Oryctolagus cuniculus: one gene and its partner. The main gene of each other region encodes a partner of the protein of the gene in region 2 in a complex. Links are inferred from orthologs where the notes say so. Each region holds a gene or a part of one and is shown on either strand. Other genes may lie near its edges.

Evidence for each region. Proteins that work in one complex are often made in the same cells at the same time.
Region 1: the proteins of DKK1 (region 2) and KREMEN1 are in contact, whole or in part, in a crystal structure (PDB 5FWW), measured with the Homo sapiens proteins. The link is inferred for Oryctolagus cuniculus from reciprocal best matches to the Homo sapiens genes DKK1 and KREMEN1. Residues at the interface, in NP_036374.1 of Homo sapiens: Cys189, Leu190, Arg191, Ser192, Ser193, Cys201, Arg203, Trp206, Ser207, Lys208, Lys222, His223, Arg224, Arg225, Lys226, Gly227, His229, Gly230, Leu231, His261; in XP_011528731.1 of Homo sapiens: Pro67, Asn88, Asp90, Asp92, Ser94, Trp96, Gly105, Val106, Tyr107, Trp108, Tyr110, Asp127, His128, Gly129, Pro132, Thr140, Asn142, Glu164, Ser165, Tyr167, Ala168, Phe170, Asn189, Val191, Phe193, His196, Asp203, Gly204.

Annotation. Positions count from the first base shown.
Region 1 is NC_091452.1:22,586,494-22,590,010, forward strand, and holds part of KREMEN1 (kremen protein 1), read left to right. Parts: intron 1-196; coding exon 197-281; intron 282-2,538; coding exon 2,539-2,707; 3' UTR 2,708-3,517. UniProt on the Homo sapiens protein: Receptor for Dickkopf proteins. Cooperates with DKK1/2 to inhibit Wnt/beta-catenin signaling by promoting the endocytosis of Wnt receptors LRP5 and LRP6.
Region 2 is NC_091446.1:45,399,019-45,403,170, reverse strand, and holds DKK1 (dickkopf-related protein 1 precursor), read right to left. Parts: upstream 2,805-4,152; 5' UTR 2,664-2,804; coding exon 2,418-2,663; intron 2,197-2,417; coding exon 2,034-2,196; intron 1,073-2,033; coding exon 929-1,072; intron 815-928; coding exon 561-814; 3' UTR 181-560; downstream 1-180. UniProt on the Homo sapiens protein: Antagonizes canonical Wnt signaling by inhibiting LRP5/6 interaction with Wnt and by forming a ternary complex with the transmembrane protein KREMEN that promotes internalization of LRP5/6.

The DNA of each region.
Region 1 (3,517 bases), on a different chromosome or scaffold from region 2:
CCGGGGTCCCTGCTCAGCCTGGCTGTCAGCCAGTCCGCTACCTTTTGCTGGCTACCTTCCCCGGTGCCCACCTGCAGGGGCCCCTCAGCCAGCCCTGCCTCTCCAAGCTGCCAGTGTTCACTTGGGGCTTTTGTTAGACCTCAGTTTGGAAACAAGGCACAAAGAGGCCCAGTAAACTCTGTCTGTTCACTTGCAGGGTGGACAGTGTATGGCCTAGCAACTCTCCTCATCCTCACAGTCACAGCCATTGTAGCAAAGATACTTCTGCACGTCACATTCAAGTGAGTATGCGAGAGAGCTGCCCGTTCCGGGGGTGGGGGTGGGGCAGAGAATGCCTCTTCTAATACGCTTCGTCACTCAGGGCACGGTGGTATCAGAACGTGATTCCAAATCCCTTAGTCCTGGGCAGCAAAAAGCAGTAACCCATCCTCCTCCCTGGAGTGAAATGTGCAACTGGACAGAGCCCACTGGGGCCTGAGCATTAGGTCTGCCCCTGTGTCCAAAGGATCTGATTTCAAGGAGGATTGAAACAGCCCTGGCATGAAAGCAACCCTTTCCCTGTGTTGGCTCATGCTGGGCTCTTACTCAGAGATCTTTATGAGAGAATGAAGATTCCTGGGACAGAACCACACATGTTCCCGTTGTCTTCCAGAAACTGGAAAGCGTTCTTGGGAAAAGAATTCTAATGTTTTGTTCACTATAGTTTAATAATTGTTTTTAAAATGTATTTAAGAAACTTACAGAAACTTCACCCTTTGATTCTGACCAAGTTCATTAAAAAAAAAATTCCTCCCTTGACTTTGCTGTTTGGGTTTAACAGTTTCACCTCCTAGGAGAGGGGAGTTTGTTCTGATGTTTGTGAACCTACAAAGGGGAGTTGTCCTTATTTTTTTTCCTAACTTGTATTTATTTATTTGAAAAGCTGAAAGAGAGACAGAAGGGGTTCCCCTCTGTTAGTTGGGTTCCCATCTGCTAGTTCGCTCCCCAAATGCCCATGCGGTTAGGCCCGTGCCAAGGACAAAGCCAGGAGCTGGGAACACAGTCCAGGCCTCCCATGTTGGTGGCAGGAGTCCAGCTAGTGAAGCCTCGCTGCTGCCTGCCGTGCACTGACAGGGAGCTGGAGTCAGGAACCAGAGGCATTCGGGTAAGAAGTCTTGACTCCCAAGTCAGTTGCCCACCCCAGTTCTCCCTAATGTTTTCTAGAGCCCTGGTTGGTCTTTCCTGTGGTTCCCAGTTCAGGCTCTTCTCCCAGTTCAAGGCCTTCCGGAACAGATGTTCTACAGAGGCCTCTTTCCTCTGACCTTCCCCCCACCTCGGCCACAGACTGTTTACATGTGAAATGCAGGCCCCTCCATTGTCCTGCGAAGGCCGCCTGTGGCAGTGTTGGGGCTGCCGTAGCAGACCTCCCCGCCTGGTCGTGAACTCTCTCCAGTTGAAGCAGTTTACTGAACTCCTTCATGCTTCCTCTGTATACAGTTGTCTCTCAACATCCTCGGGGGATCGGTGCCAGGATCCCACTGGATACCAGAACCTGCAGCTGCTCAAGCCCCTTGTATATAAAGTGGGGGAGGAGGCGGGTGCTTGGCGCAGCAGTTAGGATTCCACTGGGGACACGTGCATCCTGTGTCAGAAGGCCTGGGTCTGTCCCAGCTCTACTTCCCACTCCCAGGCTCCCGTCAGTGTACACCGTGGGTAGCAGCAGGTGATGGCTGCCACCTCGTGGGAGTCCCAGGCTCCTGGCCCAGCCCCAGCTGTTGTGCACATTTGGGGAGTGAACTGATGGTTGGAAGATCTCTGTCTCTCTGAAGAGAAATAACTTTTTTAGACTGTAGTGTAGTATTTGCCTATAATCTGAGCACATCCTCCCAGTCCCTTAGGTTTCTTATAATACCTAACACAATGTAAATGCCGCACGAGTAGTCACTGTACTGTTGGGGAATAACCACGCTATAAAGAACATAGAGAAGCACGATATTGTTGGTTAAACGTGCCGGTGTGGACGCTGTGTAGATGGAGGGCCAGTGGTTTTTCCTGCATTTTGTCAGTTACGGTTCACACGCTCTGGGGAGGCCGACTGCACGTTCCCCACAGCAGCAAGAGAGCAGGACGCTTTCTGTGAGGCATCACTGGGCACGCCCCTGTGAAAAGGCACACCGCGCTCTGTGACCGCAGGGCCAGCGCGGAGGACGGCAGAAGCCGAAGGGTGGGGTCCTTACTTCAGGCTGAGGGGGTTTGCTTTGTCCTGTTTTAGCTAGGCTGCCTTCCAGGTAAATGGCATTTGAAGAAAGAGCTCTTTTATTTAAAATAATAATAATAATAATAATAATAATAATAATAAAAATGAAGCGCAATCTGAACACTCGCAATCGGCCGGAGCAGCGCTCTCTTACTGGCAGAGCTGCCGAGGTGAGGCTGCCCCGGTGCTGTGCTGCCGCAGGCCACTGCCCTCACCAGCAAGGTGCCTGCTGCACGTCCCGTGTGAACGTCAGTGTTGTGGGTGCTTTGTCCCGTGCTACTTTGAAACTTTCTGTTTGGCAGATCCCATCGTGTTCCTGCGTCCGGGGACCTTCGGGACTGTCGTCAGCCAGGGACTTCAGGGGAAATCTGGAGCATTTTTTATAAGCCTTCTACATCGATTTCCATCTTCAAGAAGAAGCTCAAGGGTCAGAGTCAGCAAGATGACCGTAATCCCCTTGTGAGTGACTAAAACCCCAACGTGCCTAGGACGTGCGGTCCCTCTTAGACTCAAGGCTGGTGGGGTCGACCTCTCCTGGGCTCCTCGGACTGACTCTTCGCTGCCGCTCCCTCCCCCTTGGCCTCTCCTGGGACGCCCTCCTACAGACCAGGAATGGGTGCCGCACAGCAGGGGTAGGCCAGCCCTGAATTCCTCCTGCTGCACCGGCAGGAGAGAGACTCGAGGCCTGGCGCCCAGCCCTCCCTGCGTCCCTCTCCCTGATCTGACGGTGGGGGTGTCAGTGCAGCGGGGCCAAGGAGACGCAGGTGGCCGTGGCTGGCCCCGGCTCAGGGACGCTCTGGATGCGGTAGGGTGGTGGGTAGGGTTAGCACATGTTAAGGTTCCTTGATTCTCTGTTGTGCCACACACGGATCGGTTTCTCCTAGGAGAATTCTCAGGTTCTTTTGAGGGCTAGCTGGTCCTGCACAAGTGTGGACTCCTGGCGTTAGCACCCGCAGGTGTGAGGAGAGCCCATGCTCTGTGCTGGCCCTGGCGCTTGGCTCTGTGGGTACTGGCCTGGGATGCACCTCCTCCAACATGGAGGGCCTGAGAAGGGGGTCTCGTAGTCCCCTCATGTCAAACCTGACACCTTCCGCACGCAGGCTTCTTTCGTGGCCTGCAGAGCAGCTTCAGGAGTGCTCACAGAGAACATGGGGCACACCCTGCTGGGGGCCGTGAGGGGCGCTCGGTGCCCACATGTGGGATCGGGGTTGCCTGGCCTCACGGTCATGTGGAGCGCGAGCCAGCCCTGGTCTGCCCGTGTTCTCTCAGCTGACTCCCAGT
Region 2 (4,152 bases):
TGAAATTTTATTTCAAAGACTATCACAGCCTAGTAGGAAATAAAAATCTAATCATTGAGATGGTACATTTTGAAAAATAAGCTCATATTTTCATGGTAAATTTTAGGTGCCTATCATTTCTACCAAGAGTTCTTTGCCTTTTCAGACTCTAGAATTAAAAGGGAAAGGGGCTATACACTTAAGAACTGGAACCATAAACTGAAATTATTTATTTCAATTCAATATAGAATATTTATCAGAGTCAAGGTAACAATGTATACAAACATTTACATAACAAGAGAAACAATAGACAATGTAGCACTTTTAGAAAAATAATTAAGAAGTTTCATTTCATTTACAGCTAAGTGCCACACTGAGAATTTACAACACAGTAATTTACTGCAATCACAGGGGAGTTCCATCAAGAAACAAAGCTCTTACACTCCAGATTTTCGGAAGGTATTATTGGAATGCTTAATGGTAATCATTGAATTTGTACATCCTTAGGACTGAGCTGAGAAAAGTCATAAGAGGTTTCCCTAGTATATATTATAGGAGTCCACCGCATGTCCACGACTGGTCTAGTGTCTCTGACAGGTGTGAAGCCGGGAAGAGTTACTGGCTTCATGTTGATCGTTCTGCAGCCGACAAGACAGCCCGTCTCCACAGTAACAGCGCTGGAAAATCTCCAGCCCATGCGAGCCCTTCCTCCTGTGCTTGGTGCACACTTGACCTTCCTTGAGGACGGGCTTACAGATCTTGGACCAGAAGTGCCTGGCGCAACACAGCCCCGTGGCGCAGTCTGATGAGCGAAGGCAGACGGAACCTTCCTGCCCTGCGAAGGAGGAGACAGCAGGAAAACCCGTCACTGCCAAGCCATCATCATTCCAGGGAGACAACTACAAAAACAGCTTAGGCATGCCCACGAATCAGGGCACCTTCCGCCTACCTTTGGCGTGATACATTTTCGAAGACAGGGTGGTTCTGCGGGAATACCCATCCGAGGTGCTGTGGTCGTTCCCGAAGCTTTCGACGATGGTTTCCTCGATTTCCCCTCGATGAAAATGATTGTGATCAGAAGGCATGCATATTCCTAAGGAAGCAGGTAACAGTGATTAACTCCCAGGCGGTAATGCTTTTTTTGCCAACAGCTGTGACAGAAGCACTCTGCGGTGACTGATGCACGTGAGGTACCTCTCAGGTGCAGGGGCATTATTTTAAGCACAAGGCAACTTTCCTCCCTAGTGTCCCTGCGGAACTCCCCAGCGGACAGCAGCATCCACGTGTGCACGGCTGCCTCCCGGGCATCAGTCCCGGTAGAGCCATTGAAAATACTCTCCCACAAACTGTGGGAGGGGCAGTGAGGTTTCTGCCCATTTTACTGTCCCCCTTGGAGTAAGGAAAAAGAAATCGTCATTGTTCTTCAACACAACTTCTCTGCTGCGACTTGGGGCTCTATGAGTCCTGCCAGACTGCGTCAAGCAAATGCAATTCCAGCTGCCCGGAGGATGCTGGTCTCACCAGTTCCCCGACGATGTCATTTCTCTATCACAGAGACTTAAGTTCGTCCCGGGGTCCAGCTGGGTCCCGAGAAGGGTCGCCACCCCGGAGGCTTTAACTTTTAGTGGCTCGGTGTGGGGAGGGAGGGAAGGGAAGTGCTTATTTTAAGGTCGCGAGGGTGGAAGGAAGAGTGAGGGGCCGAGAACCCCACGGGTGAGGGTATCAAGATCTCCCTGAAAAACGGCCAGCGCAGGTAAGTCACCAGACATCAGTTTCAAAAGGAGGAGCCCTGAGAGTCACCGTGAGAAAAAGGGACCAGGGCAGTGAAAGTCAGGGCTGGTCCCCCGGGTATTTCTCAGGGACCCCCTCCTCGCCCTCTCCTCTCCAGTCTCAACTGGCCCCCCAGGGGCACAGAGGAAAAAGCCAGGAGAACTGCAGAGTTCTGTCTACTGCTCCCAGGGAAGAGATCTGCAGCCAACTCCGCCTCCCGCTCGCAGGTGGCGGGCGCCCCAGCGCTCGCAGAGCCAGAGCCGGGAGCCAGCCGCCGGACTCACCGTTTTTGCAGTAATTCCCGGGGCAGCACATCGCGTGACGCATGCAGCGTTTTCGACGCTTCCTGCAAGCCAGACAGATTTGCACGCCGGCGCCCCCTCCGCGGGCGGGACTCGCGCAGTACTCATCCGTGCCACACTCCTCGTCCTCTGTGCACGGGTACGGCTGCGGGGAGCCGGCGGGGAGACGGTGAGGAGCCAGGCACCCGAACGCTCGTCAGGGTCACCTGGCTGAACCCCTCTCCAAAAGCCCTTGCAGCTCTGGGCTGCCGGTTCTCACCCTCAACCAGACACGCCCAGCACCCTCAACCTCCACCCTCGCCGGCAAATGGGTCCCCCCGCCCTGGAAGGCCGCAGCGTGGCAGCATCCCCCGAGACCCCGCTCACCTGATAGTTGTCAAGGGGCAAGTACTTGTTCCCGCCCTCGTACAGAATCCCGGGCGTGGCGCTGACTGCAGAGCCCGGGTGCCCGTTAGCGCCGCCCAGCGGCGGGGGCAGGTTCTTGATGGCGTTGGAATTGACCAGCACCGAGTTCAAGGTGGCGCTCACTCCCAGCAGAGGGTGGCTGCTAAGAGCCGCCGCTACCAGGGCGACCAGGACCCGCGGGGCGGCCACTGCGCCCAGAACCGTCATTTCAGAAGGACTCGGTGGGAGAAAGAAGGAAAAAGAGGAGGCACGTCCCTTCGCAGGCCCGGTCCCGAAGGAAGCCGTGCTGGCGCGGCTGCGGGGTCAGGGTCTCCGCGTCCCGACTGCCAGCCGCAGGCAGCACTGAACCGCCGCCGCCACCGCGGCTGCCTTTATACAGCGGGCTCGGAGCGTTCCGGCCCCTCCGGGGGTGGGGGGAGAGGATGACAAAGCCGGGATGGGATTTCAAAGAGTTGGGAGGGGCTGGCAGGGGGTGTGTTTGTGTACAAGAAGCGGGGCCTTTGACTCTCGTCACCCCGCCCCAACCTCGCGAGGTGTTCCCTCCGCCCAGCTAGCTTCGGGCTGACGCGTCTCGGACAGCTTGGGGCAGTGGACCGGAGGACTCGCTGGAGGCGGGAGGGACCCTGAGACCCTGGGTGCACTGGCCTGGCAGCAGGGCGCGGGCGAGACGGACCTGCAACAGGCTGCAGAGCCTCACGGTCAGCACTCGCTGCAGATCCGCTCTTCGCTCCTGGCCGGTCTTCCACCACCGGCCCTGGTTTGTCGTACAAGCAAAATCACATTCAGTGTTAGATGCAGCCTGAAAAGATTAACGCAAAGGCTCCAGCCGACCGTCCCTGCCGGAGGTGTACCAGGTGGCCGTTTGCAAGTTGCTCATGAGCCCTCCTGGAGTCGCGGTTTTGCAGGCGTGGGTGAGGTCCTAGGCTTGAGGTTCATCCAGTTGTAACCCCTATACACACACACACACACACACACACACACACACACCGCCTCCCGGCCCGGCCACAGCGGCAAAAAAAAAAAAAAAAAAAAAAAGAAGTGCAAAGAGAAGGGAATTTGCACATCAAACGCGGGTCAACAAGGAAGAAGAACTAATTCTCTTTTGATGGGAAGTTTAGAGAGGGAGGCGAGAGACTGGAGTTTGGAAATTAGATCAGGGGTGGTAGAGGGAAGAGGGAAATGGCCATCTGATAATCTAACTATTTAATCTTGGAATCTGAGATGACCTTGATGAGGCAGACGTGCGAGATCAAAGTGGCCCCGAGCCAGAGCGGACAGGGTCCCACGTGCTGGGTCAGCCTTCTTTCCCTGGGTCCGCTTCTCAGCGGTGGGTTAATGCAGGGGATAAGATCCCCCAAGGCTGAGCGCCTGACTTCCTCATTAGTGGTTCCCATCGCCCAGGCTTCGGAACGCCGGTGTTTGATCGCAAGTCTGTGCCTCCCCGCGACGGTGGGAGATAAGAGACTACCTTGGGGCCAGGGAGGATGGCAAGTGAGCCAGAAAGTAAATCAGACTCGTGTAAGATTTTGTAAAAATGGGAAAGCCAGGCTTCTGCCCCAGACTGTTGTCAGACTGCTGTACAAGGATGTTGTGCTGTGAGTCTGTTTATTCAACAAACACACCCTGGAAGCCTGATGCCCTGGCATCTGGCTGCCCTCTAGGAGGTTGCTTTTTTTTTTTTTTTTTTTTTTTTTTT